Linked DNA regions of Mus musculus. The protein of the gene in region 3 purifies or fractionates together with the protein of the main gene of each other region. This does not show direct contact. Links are inferred from orthologs where the notes say so. Each region holds a gene or a part of one and is shown on either strand. Other genes may lie near its edges.

Evidence for each region.
Region 1: the proteins of Nup62 (region 3) and Nup98 purify together in Homo sapiens (affinity purification with western blotting; 3 studies listed by BioGRID and IntAct, with this or other methods). This does not show direct contact. The link is inferred for Mus musculus from reciprocal best matches to the Homo sapiens genes NUP62 and NUP98.
Region 2: the proteins of Nup62 (region 3) and Nup88 purify together in Homo sapiens (co-immunoprecipitation; 4 studies listed by BioGRID and IntAct, counting the BioPlex papers as one, with this or other methods). This does not show direct contact. The link is inferred for Mus musculus from reciprocal best matches to the Homo sapiens genes NUP62 and NUP88.

Annotation. Positions count from the first base shown.
Region 1 is NC_000073.6:102,207,288-102,211,425, reverse strand, and holds the start of Nup98 (nuclear pore complex protein Nup98-Nup96 isoform 1 precursor), read left to right. Parts: upstream 1-1,259; 5' UTR 1,260-1,408; exon of another isoform or gene 1,409-1,493; intron 1,494-1,515; exon of another isoform or gene 1,516-1,687; intron 1,688-4,138. Other genes in the region: Pgap2 (post-GPI attachment to proteins factor 2), read right to left, coding at 835-842. UniProt on the Homo sapiens protein: Plays a role in the nuclear pore complex (NPC) assembly and/or maintenance. NUP98 and NUP96 are involved in the bidirectional transport across the NPC. May anchor NUP153 and TPR to the NPC.
Region 2 is NC_000077.6:70,967,165-70,971,403, reverse strand, and holds the start of Nup88 (nuclear pore complex protein Nup88), read left to right. Parts: upstream 1-1,430; 5' UTR 1,431-1,452; coding exon 1,453-1,755; exon of another isoform or gene 1,756-2,317; intron 2,318-3,386; coding exon 3,387-3,556; intron 3,557-4,239. Other genes in the region: Rpain (RPA-interacting protein), read right to left, coding at 817-897. UniProt on the Homo sapiens protein: Component of nuclear pore complex.
Region 3 is NC_000073.6:44,829,117-44,832,388, forward strand, and holds the end of Nup62 (nuclear pore glycoprotein p62), read left to right. Parts: coding exon 1-1,027; 3' UTR 1,028-2,720; downstream 2,721-3,272. UniProt on the Homo sapiens protein: Essential component of the nuclear pore complex. The N-terminal is probably involved in nucleocytoplasmic transport.

The DNA.
Region 1 (4,138 bases), about 57 Mb from region 3:
CAGGAGAGGGCACCAGATCCCATTACAGTTGGTTGTGAGCCACCATGGGGTTGCTGGGAATTGAATTCAGGACCTCTGGAAGAGCAGCCAGTGCTCTTAATCGCTGAGCCCATCTATCTCTCCAGCTCCTTTAAGATGTTTTTGTTTGAGGGAATCATTTAAAATTCTTAGCAAATCTCGTTTCAGTTCTATATTGATTTCCCAGGACGTGGTGGAGAGGTAGTATGTACCTCTTTTTTTTTTTTTTTTTTTTTTTTTTAACACAGCTCCTGTTATCTGTGAGACCTCAATAATTTAGAGAGGTCTGGTTTCTAGAACATGCCCACTCTTCTGCTCTCTGCTAGATCCTAGGAGAAAAGACACCAAAAGGATGAAAATGAAGCTTTGGCCCAGATCAGGGGAGGGAGGAGGCATAGAACGGAAAATAAATAAGATACAAAGTAACAAGGTCTTTACAAGCAGACTGCCTGAACTTCACCGGGACTTGTAAAGGTTACCAAATGTGTCCTGGAGAAGGCCGCAAGAAACCCAGAACAAGTATAGATTCTGAAAGTGCAGCTGAGGCTGAAGGGCCAAGAATCTCCTCATTGGGCTCAAGCTCTGTTAAGGCAAATCCATTGCTCAGGTCTATTCTAGAGATTCAGAGGGGGAAAGTGTACGGCGAGGGCTGGCTTGCGCTGGAAAGAACAGTGGGGAGTGGAGTGTCTGCAGACAATCTGTGGATTGATGGGTTTCCAGGAAGGGTCCTCCGGCTCTCCAAGTGCAAGCTAGGTGGCCAAGGAGCCTTCCCATCATTGCCCGCAGACAGGAGCTAGAGAAGGATAGAACAATTACCAGGTCATCCTTGGGACTTCCTTCTGATTGGCCGGAGCTTCCGTAGCGAGTCTCCGCGCTCCAAGGAAGGGGGCGGGGCCTGGACACAGCGTCACTGCGGTTTGGTGCTCACTCCTCTAGCCACGCACCAGCCCTCTTCGAGGGGCCTGTGTGACGTCATGAGCCTCTCTCAGCCAACCGTTGCGGCAGAGGGAGTGGGACTCTACATCCCTCCCCATCGTCCCTCCTTTCCCCCCCCCCCCCCCCTTTCCCGGCAATTCCTTACGCTCCTCCTCTTCCCCTCCGTTCCTAATCAGAGACCGCCTCCACGTTCGGTTTCAAAAGGATCGTCACCCAATGAATAACGGTGTGGGCCTCGAGTGGCGGACCGGCCCGCCAATGCCCGGCCGCCAAGGGCGGAGCGGCCGGAGCCGATCTCTGACGGTGGACGGCGTGTGACGCAGTCAGGCCTCTGCGCGCTGCGCCCGAAGCGGCGGTCGGTGGCAGCGGCGGCGGCGACGACGGTTTTTCTGGAGGCCGCGCGGTGAGCGGCGGGTGACGGGCGGACCTGGGCTCTCACTCCAGACGCACCGCTGTAAGTCGGGAGCGCTGCCGGGGCTGGGCGGGTAGATCTTCCTCTCTGTACCGGCATCTGCGCTGGACGCCCGGGGCCCTCTCCGCCGCCGAGTCTCGTGCCGGGCGCGCTCCTTCGGGCCTGCGTGAGGGGGCGGGGCCCGGGGCCTGCGGCCTGGCTCGGGAGGCCCTGGGAGGGGATCCAACTGTGTGGGGCGTAGGCCGGAGGGGTCTCGGGTCGCAGCCCACATTGAGTGAACCTCGCTTTCTCCGGTGCTACTCATTCATTCGCTGGGTGGAGGTGAGCAGCCCGCGGTAGGCAGACCCTTGCAGGGTGGTGCCTTGGGGGGACTTCAGTGAGGTCTCCCCGTCACTTCCTTGACCACTCTACAGGACACGTTTTGTCTAGGGTTCAACCAGAGGGTTGAGTGAGTCAGAACTGTGTTTAGCTTTTTAAGACACTGACAATTGTCTGATAAATAAAATGAAGGGTTCTTTCTGTTCCGTGTAAACCTAGGTGAGAAAGATTGAATTTCTGAGTAACTGGAGCCATAAGCGTTTAAATTGTCAATCGCCCCCACTCTGCCTCAAGTACAGAGGCTTTATTAGTGGGAGGTAGGTAGAGGAAGAGAATCCAGGTGTCTTGATTCAAGTCTAGTAGAATTTGTATACTCTTCCACCCTTCCTCTATGTTCCAGTCTCCCAATATTGGCAATTCTCTATTTGGTAGGGGTAAGGACCCAGCATTTGACATAATTTTCAAAAACACTTCTAGTTTAGCTGTTTTCATGTTCGTTTATATATAGTAAGATAACTTGATTAGTAGTACCCTGATGGGGACTTTTTTTGCTTTTTTTTTTTTTTTTTTTTTTTTTTAACTTCGGAGACAACCCTTGGTTGGCCTGGAATTCGCTATGTAGACCAGGCTTGCCACAGACTCAAAGAGACCACCTGCCTCTAACGCTGAGGTAATGAGATTAAAGGTGTTTGCCATCACATCCAGACTTAACATAGACTTTTGAGAACAAAACTTTAAAAATGATGAAATTGGCTTTAACCTTGGCAGTGCACACCTTTTATCCCAGCACTTGAGAGGCAAAGGCAGGAGGCACTCTGTGACTACAAAGCTAGCCTACTCTTCATACTGAGTTTCAGGACATCTAGGGCTGCAGAGACCCTGACTCAAAAAGCCAAGTGGGGTGGGGAATAAAACCAAGATAGATGTGGTGCAGGCCTGTAATGTCACCAGTTATGGAAATTGAGGCCAGAGAACTAGAGCATACACAGGCAAAACACTTATGCACGTGATAAAAGAAATAATTGAATTCATTTCAGTAAAATGAAAAAAATGAGGCTTAACGTGTTAGAGGTACTGGGAAATACATTGATAAAATTAAATCTGCTACTTAAGATTTGATGGAATTGTCATTTTGATCTGAATATATCAATCAGCTTGTAGTTTTGATGTTTATATAAACCATAAGACCTAAAAACAAATAATGCAAAAGCACAGAAGAGAACTGAAGTCTTAAAAGTTGTAACTTGGTGTTTTCTGTATCATTTTCTCAGTTTGAGCATCACCACCTGACTCACTCTTCCTTGTAAGTTTCCATAGCACTTAACCTGATCTTCTGCTTGTAGCAGACATTTTACATTTTAGCTATTTGACATTTTACTAGATTATGTTTTGTTTTGTCTTGTTTTGTTTTGTTTTTAATCTTGCTGGCTGTGATGGGAATGCCTTTAATCCCAGTACTCCAGAAATACAGGCAGATGGATCTCTGGGAGTTTGAGGTCAGCTTGGTCCGTATAGCAAGTTTCAGGCCAGTCAGAACTGCATAATGAGACCCTTTCTCAAAACACACACACACCAAAACATAGATACATATATTTCTTAATATTTAGGTAATGTGGCTCATAGATGTTCCTTAGTTGTATTTGTGAATGAGCAAATACAGAAAAGTTAAACTGAGAAATACTCTGGAAAAGAGACTAGATGTTTGTGTACTTATGAAATACTCTGTGCTTTTGTTGGTAGCCATTAGCTCCTAGGTATCTAATTACACTGGCAGGGCACCAAATTCACATTTGGGAAAACAGTATTATTTGTGTGGTGATAGTCTAGGACATCAATATTGTAATACTGATTAATTTCTAGTAAGAGGCTTTGTAAAATTCTGAAATTCTATGCCTTTAATCCCAGCACTCAGGAGGTAGAGACAGGGCAATCTCTATGAATTTGAGGCCATCCTTGTCTACAAATCCATCATCAGGAGAGCCAGGGCTGTTACTCATGGAAACCCCATCCCTCCCCCATATACATATATATGTATACATATGTAATTATGTGTATATATATTATATAAATCTTAGTAGATGCCAGATGTTAAGCATTTTATGAGGATTTAGTGTGCTGTGCTGGAAATTCAGTACATGCTCACAGCAAGATAGTTCAGTACCAATTAACCATTCTTCCCCAAGTTGTAACTACCAAGGTTAAGAAATTATTAAAATTATACCTGAATGAGATGACTGCTTACATTTTAATAAAACTATTCTTACTTTGCTTGTAAAGTCAGTTCATAAATTGTCTAAGACTTTTTTTTTATTTGAGACAATATTCATGGTGTGTAGCCTAAGGCTGACTTTAAACTCCTAATTTTTCTGCCTTTCCCTTTCATGTACAGAGTGGTATATGTCACCATGCCCTACTTTCCATGAAAAACTTGTCAAGTACTGTTCTTGGGAAATT
Region 2 (4,239 bases), on a different chromosome or scaffold from region 3:
TATGAGTTTATGTGCACCACACCAGTGCTGATGCACACCAGGGCCAGAAGATGGCAATAGACCACTTGGAACTGGAGTTACAGCCATCGGGTCTGCTACTGAAACATAAGGACTCTTGAGCCATCTCTCCACCCCCAACTCGGGACAGTTTTTGTTCCCAAGTGGTTGTCACAGCTCTGCTTGAAGAACTGCTACTGACTGGTGCCATTTAGTAGGTGGAGAGACCAAGGCTGCTGCATCTAAGTGTTCTACATTGTACAGAACCACCTCCCATAATAGAACGTTCTCCTTCGAAACGTCAGCACTCACTGTTGAGAAACACTACTCCACACAACATGTTCAGCATGAAGATTGTTTTTCTGGGTGGTTCTTCTGGAATACACCCACCCTTTTGAGACTGCTGAACAGGGAGATAAGCTGCTTCTTAGAAGGAACTACTTGAGTTCGGAAGAAGGCGGAGCTTAAGTTCAACTCTCCTAACCGTGTCTGATGTTCTTCAGGAGAGAAATAACTTCTATCTCACGTGACGTATACATACGGAGTGCTTCCCTCTGTAACCGAACGTTAGGTGGTGGTGTTGCTACTGCTGTCATGACTCTTAAAATATGAAACAAAGTCGAATCCTAGGATAGCATAACACCTACGCCGGCCAACAGCCCGGGCGGCGGCCGGGACCCAATCCTATAGCAAGAGATCCACCTCGCTGGCCAGGCACACCGGGCACCTGCTCCACAACCAGTGCTGAAGCGAGCACACCGAGGACAGAGGTCCTTGGGAAGATTAGGGAAGTGATGACAACCCAAACTTCACACTCACCTGCCTGAAAGTTTCTTTCCAGTGGGGCGAGCCCACCTGCTTGTACAACAAGCGGTGCGGAGACCCCGAGGACTCTGCCATCTCCTCCCTTAGCGGGAAACAGCGCCCAAATCACCGCCCCTTAGCCGCGCGCAAAGGATTCTGGAAGTTGTAGTCTCGGCGCAGTCTGTCTGTACTTCAGGCCGCCGGGCTTTCTTGGAATTGTATCTAGTTTCTATCCCCTCACAGTGACAGATTTAGGGGAATCCGAGGATAGATGAAGCAGTGACAGTTGAGAAGTAAACACCACCCGGGCTGAGGGAGGTGAATCTTGAGAGAAAGTTCTGGGTTTACCCAGAGGAAGTTGTCCAGTAGACAATCAGACACACATCTCTCATCCTTAACGCTACCCCCTCACTGGCCCAGCAGCAGCCCCAAAGCGATCCTTACACTCCACTCCGCCCCGCCCCGCCCCGCCCACCTTGGCTTCAACCCGCGGCCCTGTCTATCCTCTAGCGATTCTTTCTTATTGGGCCAACTTCTCGAGATTCCTACACTTTGATAGGCTGAAGCTGTGAAGTGCTGGCCGCGGATTGGCTACGCACAGCAGCGGGCTTCGTTTCCTCCCGCCCCTCAATCCTGAGCTGTTAGTTCAAGATGGCGGCTGCCGTGGGGCCCTTGGGCGATGGGGAGCTGTGGCAGAGCTGGCTTCCTAACCACGTCGTGTTCTTGCGGCTCCGCGAGGGCGTAAGAAACCAGAGTCCAGCCGAAGCGGAGAAGCCAGCGGCTTCGACTTCACCCTCGTGCCCGTCTCTGCCGCCGCATTTGCCGACGAGAAACCTGGTCTTCGGCCTCGGAGGGGAACTGTTTCTGTGGGACGCAGAAGGCAGCGCCTTCTTGGTGGTTCGCCTTCGAGGCCCCAGCGGTGGTGGCGTGGAGCCTCCTCTCTCCCAGTATCAGGTGCGCCGGTCCATCGTGAAAGCAATCAGCCTTTTGGTTCGTTGGCGGACCTGGGCTGGCGTCTTTTGGGAACGCCCCACTTCGAGTGGAATGACCCCGCTTTGTAGCTCAATCTGGTCTGGAATCACTATGTAGCCCAGGCTAGCCAGGAACTCCTGCCCCAGTCTCTGAGTGTTGAGATTACGGGTCTAAGTCATTTATAAACACCAAAACAGAGGCTAGGCCTGTGTGTGTGTCCAGCACCTGACATAAACCTAGAGCATGCACAAGCTCCGTAATATCTGTGATTTGCTTCGGTGGGGGTGGAGGGGTTTGTTGAGACAGGGTTAACAGCCCTGGTTGTTCTGGAACGCACTCTGTAGAGCAGGCTGACCTCATTAACAGAGATCTGGAGGATCCTGATCAGAGCTAGGATTAAGCCATGTGCTGCCACTGCCCAGTTCTACAACAGGCATTTAAAGACATGGGCCTACAGATTTAAAAGCAATTAGAAATATTATTATATTCAAAAGAAATCCTTATTTAAAAGGATTTTTGGCTTAGTATAATTCTCCATACTAAGGTAAATAATATATTGATGGTCTCATCATTATTTACGAATAATAAAAAGAAATTAGAAATCTAAAATGGTCATGAGAAAAGAAATAGGAAGTACCAGGGTGAGAGTATTTTTGAGGCTATATGATGCTATGACAAATTATTGAAACTCCCTTAAACTATCACTCTTTTATATTAAGTCCACGTAGATGAAGCAGTACTGCTTGCTGCAAGGCGCTTGAAGGTAATCTAGGGCCTTACCTGTGACCTTGGGTGACCTGGAGCTCAAACAGAGCCACCTGCACCTTATCTGGTGCTGGGAATAAAGGCGTGAACCTTTACACTTGGCCTGAAGCTCTTCCTTTCTCTACAGTACAGTTATAAGATGGTAATCTGTTGATACTTCCGAGTTTATGTATTTACTGGGTATCAAGAGTCTGCTTGAGGCCAGGAACACAGAAGAAAAATCTCAAGTAGCGCCTACTGGGTTATGTCAGGGAAAGTTTAGAATGTTTAAGACCTGTGGTATTACCCAGAGCTGTGGTGTGGAACTACAGAAAACATGCCTTTGTTCCCTGGCCGCAAGATCAGGGGTAATTTCTCCCTTTTTTTTTTTTTTTTTTTAAGTTTTTGTTTTTAAATTTTCTGGGTATGTATGTTTTCCTGCAAATGAGTGCTGCATATAACATCTATGTGCCTGGTGCACACAGATGCTACAGAGCCACCGTGCGGGGGCTGGGAATTGAACCCAGGTCCTCTGGAAGAGTAGCCCTGTGGTTTTTATTTTCAGTTTGTGTGTGTGTTTGGTGAGAGAGAGAGAGAGAGAGAATATGAATATGAATGAGCCCCAAGAATATGGGTGCTGGGAACCAAACTCAGGTCTTTTGCAAGGGCAGCAAGTGCTTTTAGGTGTTGTCATCTATCAAGAACCTAGAGATTATTTCTTGGGGAATAATCAGCTAATGACACAGTTAGTACATGCTCAGAATGCTATTTATAACTTTAGAAATTTAAAACGTGATTATGGTTTCAAGCAACTCTGAAATAAATTTATATTAAAATTAACTATTTTTACTAAATGGTTTTACTTTCAGAGATTACTCTGCATTAATCCACCCTTGTTTGAAATCCATCAAGTCTTGTTGAGTCCAACCCAACATCATGTAGCACTTATCGGAAGTAAAGGACTTATGGCATTAGAATTACCTCAGAGGTGGGGGAAGGACTCTGAATTTGAAGGTGGAAAAGCAACTGTGAATTGTAGGTAAGTTGTATTTTCATTTAGTATTTATCTGTGTAAGTTGCTAAGACCCAAAATGGTTGAAATGTATTTAGGGGCCACTATTGAAACATTTGAGCATTTGTATGGTCCTGCACACTGACTTCCTGTGGTACTATTGTTGTCCGTTCTTTTTTAAACATGTATGAGTGGTTTGCCTTCATTTAGTAAGTGCAGTGCTTGTGTGCCTGGACAGCAAGAAGAGAGTGTCAAATCTCCTAAACTGGAGTTAGAGTTTAGCTGCTACGAGGTTGCTAGGAGCCAATGTTGGATCCTCTGCAAAAGCGGCAGGTGCTCTAAACTCCTGAGCCACCTTCCCAGTCCCTGCTGTTATTTTTGAAGAATACTGTGTTAATTTTTTTTTTGGATTTTAAATTTTTTTTAATTAGGTATTTTCCTCAATTACATTTCCGATGCTATCCCAAAAGTCCCCCATACCCTCCCCCCCAACTCCCCTACCCACCCATTCCCACTTTTTGGCCCTGGTGTTCCCCTGTACTGGGGCATATAAAGTTTGCATGTCCAATGGGCCTCTCTTTCCAGTGATGGCCGACTAGGCCATCTTTTGATACATATGCAGCTAGAGTCAAGAGCTCCGGGGTACTTGTTAGTTCATAATGTTGTTCCACCTATAGGGTTGCAGATCCCTTTAGCTCCTTGGGTATTTT
Region 3 (3,272 bases):
AGCACTGTCTGGCTCTCCCTTCACACCAGCCACTCTGGTGACTACTACAGCAGGAGCTACACAGCCAGCTGCTGCTGCACCCACTGCTGCCACCACCAGTGCAGGGTCTACACTCTTTGCTTCCATAGCTGCTGCTCCTGCCTCATCCAGTGCTACAGGGCTCTCCCTCCCAGCTCCGGTGACAACTGCAGCAACTCCTAGTGCTGGGACTTTGGGCTTCAGCCTCAAGGCCCCTGGAGCAGCTCCTGGTGCCTCCACCACCAGCACCACCACTACCACTACCACCACTACTACCACTGCTGCTGCCGCTGCCGCCTCTACCACAACCACTGGCTTTGCCTTAAGTCTGAAACCCCTGGTGTCAGCTGGCCCCAGCAGTGTAGCAGCTACTGCTCTGCCTGCCTCCAGCACAGCAGCTGGGACTGCCACAGGTCCAGCGATGACCTATGCACAGCTGGAAAGCTTGATCAACAAGTGGAGTCTGGAGCTGGAAGATCAGGAGCGGCACTTCCTGCAGCAGGCCACACAGGTCAATGCCTGGGACCGCACACTGATTGAGAATGGGGAGAAGATCACCAGCCTGCACCGAGAGGTGGAAAAGGTGAAGCTGGATCAGAAGCGACTGGACCAGGAGCTGGACTTTATCCTGTCGCAGCAGAAGGAGCTGGAAGACCTCCTGAGCCCATTGGAGGAGTCAGTGAAGGAGCAAAGTGGCACCATATACCTTCAGCACGCTGATGAGGAGCGTGAGAAGACCTACAAGCTGGCTGAGAACATTGATGCTCAGCTCAAGCGCATGGCACAGGACCTCAAGGATATCATCGAGCACCTGAACATGGCTGGTGGCCCTGCAGACACCAGTGACCCATTGCAACAGATCTGCAAGATCCTCAATGCACACATGGACTCTCTTCAGTGGGTGGACCAGAGCTCTGCCCTGCTGCAGAGGAGGGTGGAGGAGGCTAGCCGTGTATGTGAGGGCCGGCGCAAGGAACAGGAGCGCAGTCTGCGCATTGCCTTTGACTAGCCACGCGTGAGTGGGGGGAGGGGCTCCTTGGGTTGCAGGGCTGCTGCCTTTCCCGTGGTTGGTTGTTGAGAAAAATGCTCTTTGTTTTGATTCCCTGTTATCAGAAGTGTTTTGCAAAGGCATGATGTTCATGGATATAACCTGTGTGCTCTGGAGACCAATGTGAAGGTCACTGAACTCTCGGCCAGCATTTAAAGAACAAGGGCAAGTGGTGAATCCAGCGCTCCCTTGCAAGCTTCAGCTCTCCTTGTGGCAGAACTCATCCTTCAGCCACTCCAGTACTACTGTGAGGGTGGATAGGTGCTCCAGACGAGAGACTCACCTGGGGTGGAGACAGGCTTCTGTGCGTCTCTAATTCCTGTCAAGCCCGTGTCCTCCAGAGGCTCTGGCACATAGAGTGGAGTCACCAAAGCACCACTTTTGCACTGGCTACCTCTCACTCCTATCTTGTGCGCTTCTGTGGCAGGGACTGACTGCTGATACGTCTTTGAGGCCAAAGTGGATGCAGATTTGCTTCTGAATATCCCAGTGTCAAACCTATCTTAGATCCACAGTGGTGAAGCTGGCAGTCATGTCTATTTTATTTCTCTGCACTCTATTGTAGCCTTTGTGGTCCCTGATCAAAATGTTTGTTGCTTTTCTAAATAAAGGAAGATTTGTGAAACCAGACTTGCTGTGAGTATGGGTAGTGGGTCCAAGCTTTGGCAGGATAGGGCAGGACACAGCTGGTGTGGTGGTGGTACTCCTATGCCGCCCGGGTTGGAAGCGCTGGCTGAGCCATAGGGCCCAGTCTCTACCTTCATGGGGTGGGCAGGCTGCAGGTGTGAGAAGAGTCCTGTCTACCATTGTGCCTAAGTGGTAAGTCATCCATTACCCTAATACGTGCAGGTGTCATTGTGATGTCATCAGCAGTGGGAAATGAACACTGAGGGGTGATTTCCAGATGCTGGTCTCACTTAGGCCCGGCACTTGGCTATAGGACTGGGGGACCTTGAACCAGCAGTGGGGCCACTTGGGTCATGTTGGGTCATGTTGGCACAGGAGAAAGCTGGGGGTGGGATGAGCGGCTAGATAGAGAGGTAGTCGCTCAGTGGCTAAGAACACAGGTTGGCTGCTCTTCCAAGGACAGGACCCTATTTTGATTCAATGCACCCACGTGGTAGCTTACAACCACCCTGTAATTCAGTCCCAGGTTATCTGACCTCTTCTGGGCAGCTTGGGTACCGTCTGCACATAGTGCAGAGATACACATGTAGGCAGAGTCATAAAATCTCAAAGCGTAAAGAACTGGCATTGTGAACGCCTGTCACCCCAGTACTCTGGAATTCCAGATCATCTTGAACTACATTGCTACATAACCACGTAGAGGCAGGGCCAGTGAACTGGGAGGACGCAAGTCCTGACGACCCCAGTGGCCTTCCTGTGATGTGTGACATTTCATTGGTCTAAGACAGGATCCCCCCACTCTAGCCCAAGTTCTTGAATTGTTGTGAACTTCCTGCCTTAGCCACCTAAGCTCTAAGACTATGGGCAAGACACTACAGCCCAGCCCTGCACTCCATGACTTGACTCCCAATTGATTATGATGCTTAGGTCTCAGTTCCTCTAAAGATGTGTCTTATATACATGATTGTCATTGGTGGGCTCAAACAATAAGGGTGTGCGTTTTAATAAAAATGCATTTTAATGTGTGTCCTTGTTCAGGATTGTATATTGGACCTAAAGATGAATTCTATTTTGAAGATAGGGCCTGCATGTATGCTAAGTGCACACTCTGTCCCTGCTACTACATCCTAGTGACCTTGTAGTTTAGAAACATTGAAATTATGCCCTGACATCTGCCCTACTTTGAAGAAAAGAGACTAGATCTCTGTGCTGGGGGAATTGGGGAGGGGTGCCCAGGATGGCAATGCTATTGGCAACCTGCTGGGCATGCCCAGGTTACACTTACAATTGCAGTTTCCTTCTCTAGGAAGAACACAGGCAGATGCCCTGCCTTGCTGACCGGTCTCATTAAATCACCATGAAGACAGCAAAGGTGACTGATTGCATGGGGAGCCTATTCCACACCTCTCCCTGGATAGCCAAGGGCCAGTCTGACCCAACATGGGGGAACTAGCCTGGCCTAGTGTGAAACTCAAGAAAGGGGGAAAAAGTGTAAAATGTCAAATAAGAGGAAGTTGTGTCCATGTCACGCTAAGGCCAAGAGGGAGCTGGAGTTGAAACTCCACTCCTCTGTCCCCTG